Caenorhabditis elegans: one gene and its partner. The protein of the gene in region 1 purifies or fractionates together with the protein of each later gene. This does not show direct contact. Each region holds a gene or a part of one and is shown on either strand. Other genes may lie near its edges.

Evidence for each region.
Region 2: the proteins of unc-10 (region 1) and elks-1 purify together in Caenorhabditis elegans (affinity purification with western blotting, with the first as the bait; one study listed by BioGRID). This does not show direct contact.

Annotation. Positions count from the first base shown.
Region 1 is NC_003284.9:7,277,291-7,282,543, reverse strand, and holds the start of unc-10 (Rab-3-interacting molecule unc-10), read left to right. Parts: upstream 1-2,221; 5' UTR 2,222-2,242; coding exon 2,243-2,311; intron 2,312-2,460; exon of another isoform or gene 2,461-2,599; intron 2,600-2,644; coding exon 2,645-2,694; intron 2,695-2,753; coding exon 2,754-2,887; intron 2,888-2,941; exon of another isoform or gene 2,942-3,026; intron 3,027-3,066; coding exon 3,067-3,137; intron 3,138-3,551; coding exon 3,552-3,739; intron 3,740-3,852; coding exon 3,853-4,189; intron 4,190-4,246; coding exon 4,247-4,391; intron 4,392-4,500; coding exon 4,501-4,589; intron 4,590-4,796; coding exon 4,797-4,852; intron 4,853-4,899; coding exon 4,900-5,081; intron 5,082-5,140; coding exon 5,141-5,240; intron 5,241-5,253. UniProt on the Caenorhabditis elegans protein: Regulates the efficiency of a post-docking step of the release pathway. Acts after vesicle docking likely via regulating priming. May regulate the conformational changes in syntaxin.
Region 2 is NC_003282.8:3,346,740-3,351,836, forward strand, and holds the start of elks-1 (ELKS/RAB6-interacting/CAST family member 2), read right to left. Parts: upstream 3,289-5,097; 5' UTR 3,180-3,288; coding exon 3,170-3,179; intron 2,686-3,169; coding exon 2,565-2,685; intron 2,430-2,564; coding exon 2,184-2,429; intron 1,096-2,183; coding exon 906-1,095; intron 858-905; coding exon 749-857; intron 369-748; coding exon 1-368.

The DNA of each region.
Region 1 (5,253 bases):
AAGTGCATATTTTAAGAGTAATAGTATTAAATAATTTTGATGTGACTTCAATTGTTTTCAGGAACATTTTATGTTTACCATAACCACAAAAACATATACATAAGTAAAAAACAATCAATTGTTTTATCTCGTAGTGGGTTTTTATAGGTATACTTATATTATGATCACTCAAATAACAGATAGAGTTTGAAAACAATTTGAAAATATGTTAAATTGTCATTCATTTTTCAAACTTTGTCCAATTTGATGAAATGTGATTTGAATGCCTTATTTTTAGGTTCAGAAACAGTTTTGTCCTCAAGAAAACCGTACTACGTTTTCACATTCATAACTTTGAAATTCGTTCCGATAGCGTTCCGCTAATAAACAAGAACTCTCAAATGTCTCTGATATATAACAAATCTGAAAAGTATTAATGCACTTCCAAAAGGTAATCTTTATCTTTGAAACATCACATTTACCCATCTAGAAGTTTGTTAATTCTGTTTCTTGTCAGCTATATGAATTGATTCATAACGGATTTTGTCCGCCTTTTATATATCTTCTCATAGTTAATCTAATCTTCAAATCGTGAAAACTCTTTTCATATAACACATTTAGAAATCCAGCCGATGGAATAGGAAAATAGTATATATATATATATATATGGATATGGATATATAAGTGTTGCGAATGTTTAATATTCTCTTTTTTTGAAAAGTTTGTTCGATTGTTGAACAAAAATGTTTTGCTTTTGCTGTGAGTTTTAATAATTAGTTACTTCATAGTCCTAGTAGGAATTCTGAACGTATCTGAAAGGGCATTGAAGGGGCGTGAACTTTTTGGAAAGGTGATCCCTCGTCCTGTTCCCTGTTTGTCTGTCCCCTGTCCTCACCTCCTTCGTCTTCTTTTTCTGTCGTTTTATACTTCTCTTTGCTATGCATTCATGAACAGATAATCCAATTTGAGGCTGAGGCCTGCGTGTGTATGTGTGTGTATGTGTGGAGGCCCTCCAACGAAGAAAGAACAAAACTTGGCAATCTTGAGCATATTGGATAAGCTGCCCGCTGAGTTGCTAATTGTCAACGTTTGGCACAAACGCCACATAGAGCCATCTCGGGATGGAAAGGGAGAGAAGACTGGTTGGGGGAGAAAAGAAGGGTAGAGCCTTTGGAGCATTTTTGTGTTTTGCGGGCGTTGCTCCATCCCTTCGTCGTTTTCTCCACCCTGCGTTTGCGCATCAGTCGCCACACGCCGCTAGCCCCCGAGTCCTAAACCCCTCCCTCCCATCTACACACATCCATTTATTTATTAGAAGAGCTCTGAGTAAAACATGAACTATTCGCTATCCGTGGCCTTGTTTTATTCATTGCTTATATCGCATTCGCCCGGGTTTTCCTCCTGGGCGCGCCTTGTCTTTTTTCTTTTCCTCCCGTTTCACCTCCGTTTTTCCTTTCGCCCTCTTTCTCTTTCCTTACGGATACGGGAGGCTCCCCCCACCCCTATCTTCAAACCTTGTCTTTTTTCCGTGCTCAGGGAAACGAGCATGAATTCATTGTCTCAAATGAATGTCTCCTTTTGTGCATCATTAATCTTGCATCGAATTTTGCTTTTTATTCTTACATGCTTTTGTCCACTTTGCACAAGCTGTCCATTTTTTGTCAATTCAAACATCAGCTTGAACCTTTACCTGTCCATGGTTGGCCTTTTTTTATGGCGAAACCTGGCGAACCCAATATCCATCACCCTTCTATTCCTTTTCTTTTCCCGTTTTCCTTCGCTTCCCACTTCCCCACCTCCTACGCTTATTTCTTATTCCTTTCCCGTTTTAGTGCTCTCTTTCTCTTTTTTGCAAAAAGTTCTTGATAGCAGTAAAGAAAAGAAGAGGAAGACTATTTTTGGATGTCCCGAGTTTCCCACGGTATTCATCGACGTCGTCGTCGAAAATGACCACATCCAGTCTTACTGGGCGCTCATGTCTTGGAAAAGGCGTCATTTTTCAACGTTTCTAATCCCGGACGCTCTTATTTTTCCTCTCTCGGTTTCCCCATCTTTGACGCTGTTCTTTTTTTGTTTCAGCGTTGATCCTGTTTTCTTGTTGGCCTTTATTGACATACAACTCTTAAACCGAACAAATTCGTTTCTATTCTTTCTATTCGGATTGTTATCGCGCTTTAGTCTTTTTATACGCTATGATTTCACATGATGCAATAACTCCTTATTACCTTAAAAATCAAACTTCAGTGCCTCATTAAATATAATCATGGACGATCCGTCGATGATGCCGGATTTATCCCATTTATCTGCAGAAGAACGTGAAATAATAGAAAATGTGAGTTGTTCCAGCACGAACCCCCTCCCCCCCCCCCCCCCCCCCCATCGTTCATTTTGCCCATCCGTCTGCTTCTTGTGGGGTTCAAAAAAGTAGTTGGTGCGGTGTGAGTCCTCTGTCTCGGAGCATGACGGGCCCCCCGAGGGGTGAAAGAGCGAGAAAAGGGGAGGGGTATTACTTACAACGCCGTGAGCACACGCAAAATAATGGATATGCAATCAAACGAGTGTGTGCTCTTATGTACATTCGACAAGAAAATTGGCATGATATCATGCGTGCACATACATATAGAGAATACTCACTCAGAACGCTCATGATTTATGTTTTTTGCAGGTCTTCAAACGACAAAAAGATGAGGAGGCAAAAGAAACACAAATATCACAGTAAGAGTTTTGTAGACACATAATTGCATTGGTATTTCTTCATGCGAATGATTTTCCAGAAAAGCATCTGAAGAATTGTCAGAGTTAGACAAACAGATCACGGAGCGGAAAGAAACATCGAAAAAGCTGGTTGGCACACAAGATGACGCGATCTGTCAAATCTGTCAGAAGACCAAATTTGCGGACGGAATTGGTACGTTGTTCCTTTTCCTGAAGAAGCGATGAGAGCAAAGGGTCCTTCTGTCGCCCTGAGATGAGCCTCGTTTTCTGTTCCTAGTAATTCTCTCCGCGGCGTCAGAGAGCCCCTAACCCTTGGCTGTCATCGTCTCTCTAAAAGGACATCAATTTAGCACAAGATGAGAGGTTTTTCAGGCCACAAGTGCTTTTATTGTCAATTGCGTAGCTGCGCCAGATGTGGAGGTAGAGCACAGAGCAAAAATAAGGTACGAGCGGGAGTGAAAGTGTGGGATGAAATAAGGGGAAACATGAAAGAGAAAGGACAAATTCTGGATGACTGCATTTGAATAACAGAATAAAAACCAATTTGAGCAAAATCGACTTGAACATTTTTGCGATATGATGTTGCAATGTTTATATTTTCACAAAAAAAATCTAAACTTTACAATTTATTATAAAATCATGTTTAATTTTATAGTTAATGAATCTAATTTGGAAATCAAGCGAAATAATCGTTTTTACATCTAAAAAAATACGACAGAAGCTGAAAAACAATAGCATCCATTGTTTGCAAAGTAGTTTGGAATAAAGAGATAAATAGAAAGTATTAGCCCCGTGGGTGCACCGACCGATAAAAAAGTAGAGAAGTGAATTGAAGAGAAGAAGTAAAAAGCTTTCAGGCAATCTGGGCTTGTTCGTTGTGCCAGAAACGTCAACAAATTCTTGCCAAAACAGGCAAATGGTTCCAACCCGAAGAGCAGCCGCAGCCGAAAATTAGCGGCTCCGAGCCAAGCCCTTCGCCCCAACCACTAACTGACGACAACGTACCAGAACCGCAGCAGAGGCGAGCAGAGCCGCCTGATAAAATGTGAGTTTCTTCCGGTTTCTTTTACTTTTCCAAGTTTGTGTTTGATTGTTACATGTTCCTTTGAAGCGTTAGTTTCAATCAATCACAATTCAGACTAATTTTCATATTTTCAGGAACACTCCAAATTATCAAAACAACCAACAACCCCGTGGAATGGGAATGCAGCCAAATCATAATCAAACTCAGCAGAATTTCATGAATCAGAACCAAAATTCAAATCAACATCCAAATCAAAACCACAATCAGAATCAAATGCAGAACCCGCATCAAAATCAAAATCATGTTCAAAATAATCATCAAGGAGCCAACAATCATCAACAGAATAATCGAAGAGCTATGCAACAACAGCCAATGAGTCAAAATCAGGCAAATCAGATAAATCAGATGAATCAAAACCAAAATCAACAACAGAGCCACAATCAGAATATGACTCAAAACCAGAGAAACCAGGTACTTGAAGTTGGAAAGTTCCACGATTATTTCAAATTCTACATGTAAATAATTCAGACTGGCCCCCAAAACCAACAAAGGACAAATGACTCTCGAACTATGAAACAAACGCCTCAACAGCAGCCCAGTCAGTATCAAAACAACGTAGGCGCGGCACATCAACACCATAATCAACATGGACAACAAGAGCAGCATCATCAACGTAAGAGCCTCCAGGGGTATAAAAAGAGAAAGTGAAAAACAAAACAAAAAAGTGTTGTGCGCTAAAATTGCGAACGAGACGCAAATTGATATAGTCTGGATAATTTCAGAAATGAATGAACAACGGACGGATAACAACAGAATGAGAGAGAATACTAACGGGCAAGGAGGAATGTTCAATAGGCAGCCGTCATTAGAGGTGAAGGGATCAGGGATATCAAAAACGAGCTTTTGAAAAAAGATTGAGCAGCTTATTATTAGGGTGATACTTCTGTAAAAGTAATGAACAAATGTGAAGAATCATCTAGAGCGGAAAATTTGGTCAGAATTACAGTACTGTCGTACAAAGTTCAGAGTAGAAAAATATATTAAAATGAAAAAAAAAACGAAATTGTTTCTAATTTAGCAAACTACGCCCATGAACAAATACAATCACGTTGAGGATGATGGCATGAACCAGCGGTAAGTATCCCATAAAGTTTAAAAACTTGATACCCACTTGCTTTCAGACCCACGTTCTACACTGGAAATTCCGAGAATGACCAAAGACAATTTGATGGCCAAATGCAACAGGGCTCACAACAAAATAATCAGAATCAGAACCAAAACAACCGAAATCTTAGAAAAAACACAGTCAGCCGGGTAACAGAGGAGGATTATGCAAGTTCGTCAAACTTCGAATCTAAGAAACGTAAGATGATATCATATCGATAATACCTTGCTAAATTCTATTTTGAGAATCAATTTCAGAGCGGAACAACTCTTCACAGAGTCAGTCCAACACGCAAGGCGTGCGAGCATGTCCTTCTACTGACGACCATTTGAACCGGGTGAAAAATCGATTGCATAGGTGAGCAAGTGTA
Region 2 (5,097 bases), on another chromosome or scaffold:
CTCACTTCGATCCATTTTCATGCGCATCGTCGCCATCTCATGACCGGACAGGTTCTTATCAGTAAAATCTCTTGGCTGATTACTCCTTCCCATCCGCTGCCTCATCAGTTCCTCCTCCAACTCCACGATCCTCGCCTGCTTTTCATCGATCCTCCGAAGCGCGTTTTCGATAGCTTGCCGGCCTGATGGATCCTGACTTGCCATCATAGATTGCGTCTCCTTGGTTGTTAGAAGATCCTGAAGCCTCATAATAGTATCCTCTAGCTCTCGAATCCGTCCGTCCATGCCACCGGAGCCGGATTCTAAAGCTGTGGTGAGTTGGCGAATGCGTTCGTCGCGTTCTCGGAGTTCCATTCGGAGTTGTAGCGCTGAAAGAATGAAGACTGTGTAAGAGATTCCTAGGCCAGGTGGCCCTAACCATAAGGAAACCTACAAAAACATGGGTACCCTAGAGCCTTACAGATTTAATCGGTAAGGGGTAAAGCACAGCCAAGGCTTACTTGACGGTAGCCTAAAAAGTCCATGACCCTGGTAGCAGAGGATTTTATGTTTTTAGGATCTTAAGGGCGTTGTTCTGCTTCTAAGGTGTTGGTTTCATTCGAACCAAGATCTTGACCTTTTCAGAAACATTGAACTCCTGGGACCCTTTTGTTTTAACTTGTCATCCGCTTGGGGTTAACAAGCGTTTAAATTAACTTAATTTAATTGCAGGCTTTGAAGCTTATTTTAAAAAAAACACCTAAATTACCTTCGCTAGAACCTAGGCCGTAGTCATTACCGCCACCTCCTCCCGACTGAACCATCCTCTCCAGCTGCGCTATCCGAGTGGCTTCATCACGCCGCATTTGCCTCTCCCTCTGGAACAATTTCACATAGCTAATCATACACTACGGTAGCTCTATTACCTTTAACTCGGGACTCCAAAACGTTTTGATACTATTCATAGTCTGATTTAGCTTCTCCATCATTGTGTCGTATTCGACTTTCAGCTGCTCGTACTCTCTCGCGATGTTCAGGCCACTTCCAGTGCCGGTGGGGATTCGGGATATGCCTGGTTGCATTAGGTCGTAGTCTTGGACTGATGTGGTGGCCATGCTGAAATATTGGAAAATTGAGGAAAAAAGTCTTCCGCGTGTAATATTACACAAGTTTCTACCGATGCTCTGGCCCTGGGTGTTGCCCTTCAAACGCTATAACTTTTTAGCTATTAAACATTTAAAAAAACATAAAAATTTGTTGTAAACTGGAAACATGCTCAAAATTAAAAACTGCACAGTTTCCATGTTGACTACATTTTTGTATCTATTCTTACCTAGGAGATAAGAGGGATTGAAGACCATCGTATCATCCCAGGTAGGCAAGGCAAGTGAAAAGGCAGAGGCTGTTTCGGATCTAACTTTATTGCCTTTAACGATACGAGTTTTTGTCAACTAACAAAATGCTCAAAATTAAAAACAGCATAATTTGTTAGTGGAAAATTTTTTTGTACCTCTAACCTCCTCGACGATATAACAGTTCAAAGTAAAATTACATAATATTATTTGAATCTCCAGAGCTCCCCCACCCCACTTAAAATTCATCTGTTTTGAGCCCCCAATTTTTTTTCGGAAGAGAACGTCAGCAGCAGTCAATGTGTGCAAAAAAATATATATATATACATGCATATTATACTCCCATGAGAGATGAGGAGCAGCAAAAACCCGCAAATTCTTTAAAAATTGGAGGAAATTCAACTGAAAGAACAAAAACTAAAAAATGTTGGTTTTCGGAGGGTCCACCAGCACCACCCCCCCCCCCCCCGCAAATTAAATTAGGTTAGGGTGGGGTCTTGGAGCCGTAGATTTGTGTCGTTTGTGGTGTGTTAACTGGAGGGGGAGGAAGAAACGGTATAGGAAGAAAGGTAAAAGCCCTAATGGATGATTTAGAAGACGGCAGGGTCCTGTCCGACAAGCACTATAGAAACTGGGATCTAGTTTAGGCGGCAACCAAGTCAGGAAATTGACAACGCCACTGGCTTCTGATGGGCAACCAATACAAATTAGACAACACTAAAGGCTCTTAGGATCCTGGCATCCCTAATGACAAGCACACTGACTACTTTTTGTCTACCAGGCAGCCTTACCGACAACCCGGCGACTTTAGAAGCTGTCGACCTCCCCGAATACCCGGCACCCCTAACTAACCTATTATTATGCTGCCAGAACGCATTCTGCGTGGGAATCGGATTCGATAACGCCAGCGATTGCCCACGCTGGAACTGTGTTGGGTGGTGATGTGGTGGATGGTGATGTTGACTTGTGGATATCTCCAATGGAAGGTATGATGGCTGATGTAGAGGTTTCGGTGGAGACGGCTGGAGCATCATATCGTAGTCTAGGGAGTCTTTGTAGGCGTCCAGGACACCAAGGCCGTCCATCGAGCGGTGTTGCCTGGAATTGGATGGTTCTTAGGTAGGCCTCGAGAGTAGTTGGTCTTCGAGGGGCAGGCTGTAGGCCCGTTGGGAGACAGAAAATTTGTGCTTGGTCTTAAATTTTCCTCAGTTTATCCCTAAAAAAGCTACTCACCGTTGCAGTGGGCGCCTCGACGCGGCGGATATGGATGTATGGGGTGGGACTGATGGATAATTCATCGGGTTTCGGCCACTGGAATTCATCACCGATGTTCGGCTGCTGTATGGTGCGGGACCTGAAACGAAAAATTGGAAAATTCTTTTTGGAGCGCACTTGTTGTAGAATTTTTCAAAAAGGTTGTGCCAAATTTAACGAAACGCTTCAACTCTTTTTGCATTAGAGCGCCCTTACATTTTGCGATTGGCGGGAAATTTGAAATGTTCTTTCCAAATTTTTATCAACACACTTTTTTTTTCAAGAGATTGCACATTTTTAGCAAAAACCTCCTCGGTTAAACATTGGAGCACACTGAAATTTGGAATTTTAACAAGCTTTGCAAAAATTGGCATAACTCTGCGAGTTTTGGAGATATGAGAAAGTTATCAACTAACAAACTGTGTGAAATTTTGTGATCTACAATTAGTTAGTCATAAATTTTTTAATAGAGTTTTCAGTTTTTGAGATATTCATGCTTTTCTGGCGAAAAAAAAATCAAAAAAAATTTTTTTTGAGCGAAATTTGTTTAATTTGCAAAAATTTGCAATCTTCTAAAAACTCACCAGGTGCCATATTGTACTGCTCCGGGTAGTTTGATGGTCCGGGTACGTGTTCGTTGTAGGACCACTCGGCGTCCAAGCCGTTACCGTACCACCCGCCGCCGCCTCGATCCAGTTTTTGACTGAAATTTTGAAGTTTTTGAGAATTGAGGAGAAGAGAAAAAAGTTAGGAGAAAAATTATATTAAAACAATATGAGGAAATATTGGTTAAATTTGGAAATTTTGAAAAAAAAACAACTTTCAATTTTTATTTTTCGAAATTTATTCTCAAAATATACTCAAATTTCCCGCTAAACTTTTCACTCCTAATTTCAGAATACAAATTTTCCACTATCAATAACCCAAAAACCAAAAAAAATCGTTCAAAAAGTCCGGCCGGAAGCAGCAAATGTCTTGTGTAAGTCAATGTATGCGCGGGGTGCGCGGAGAGGAGAGAAAGAGCCAAAAAGCAAGAGAGCCGAGAGATAAAGAGACGAAGAAGAGACCTAGATGGTTTGACAAACAGGGAGAAGGAATGAGAGAGTAAGAGGAGTTAGAGAAAGGAAGGGGAGGCGGATTGCGCGCGGATAAGCATGAAGAAAACAGAGGAGAGGGGAGGGGGACTGTAGTGGCGGAGTCTTGGTTAAATTTTTGAATAATAATTTCCCCAATTAACAGAATATGTTTATTCTTAATTTGTACGGAAAAATCCAGAAAAGTTTCGGTACCGCCTCAGAAAACTGAGTATAACTTCAAAACTAAAACGGCTAACAAAAACATTTTAACTAACAAACTGTTAAGCACAAAATTTCGCACATTTTGTCTGTTGGAACCTTTTTGGTAGCTATTACCATTCTAGAGATATAGGGGTTCAAAGTTGAGGAGTGCAAAGTGTGTGGAGGAGGGGGAGACGCAGGTTGTCTCGTCGACTGCGTCTCACCCTCCACCACGCTCTCACCGCACTATGCTCTAAAATGCGTGTATCTCTGGAACGGTTAAAGATAGTAAAGTGAGAAATTTGGTTTTCTATTCGAAAAACATTTTTTTCGATTTTTTTAAATTATTATTCAGCAATCTTACATATGTTTTCTTAAATTTTCCATACTAGAAAACTTTAAAAAAAAGGCAAAACTCTTGACTCTGACGCCAAGACACAAAAATTGTAGGGAATTGAGAGAAAAGTGTCGGGGAAAAGGGATAGAAAAGACGAAAACAGTACGCTCAGTGCGTTTTTTTTGTGTTTCTTTCAATGTTCAATGATGACAAATGGAACGGAAAATTGCAAACGTTACGATTTATTGGAGGACAGGGGTTTTTTTGAAAAAAGAAAAAAAAGTATATTGGGATTTTTCAACATTCTGATCTTTTTTCTCTGTTACTCTATTTTCTAAGCTCTAACCGTTCCAGATACATATATACAGCAGAGAGACGCAGACAACGAGACTGTCTTCTCTGCCTCCTCACCCACTCTCCACACTGTAAACGCCTATTAATAAAACAAAAGCAAAAAAAAGAGAAAAAATAAAACGACTTGCGCAAAGGTCTCTCCCCCCTTCAATTTCGGTGGTCCATAGTACTACGTTTTTGGCAAAAAGATAGAGAAAAAGGGGTGGTGAGAGTCCGAAAAGAGCTTTTCTCTGCGTCTCCATTGTCTTTCTCAAACTCTCTTTTAGGGAGTGCGTCGAGTAGTTGAGCTTTTGGCATTGAACCAGAAGAGATTGGAGAGACGCAGGAAAAGTAGGAAAATCTGGGGATTGAAGAGATTTAATATTTATTGCAGAAACATTTAAGGTGAAAAGTGTATTTTTACGTTGTTTTGCTGATTAGAACTTTTTGAAAAAAAAAGTTCCATCAACAATAATCCTTTAAAAAATTTTCTAACCCAAAAATTATTCTTCTCAAAATTTTACACATTTATCTATCAGTTGACAACTTTTTAATAGCTATCACC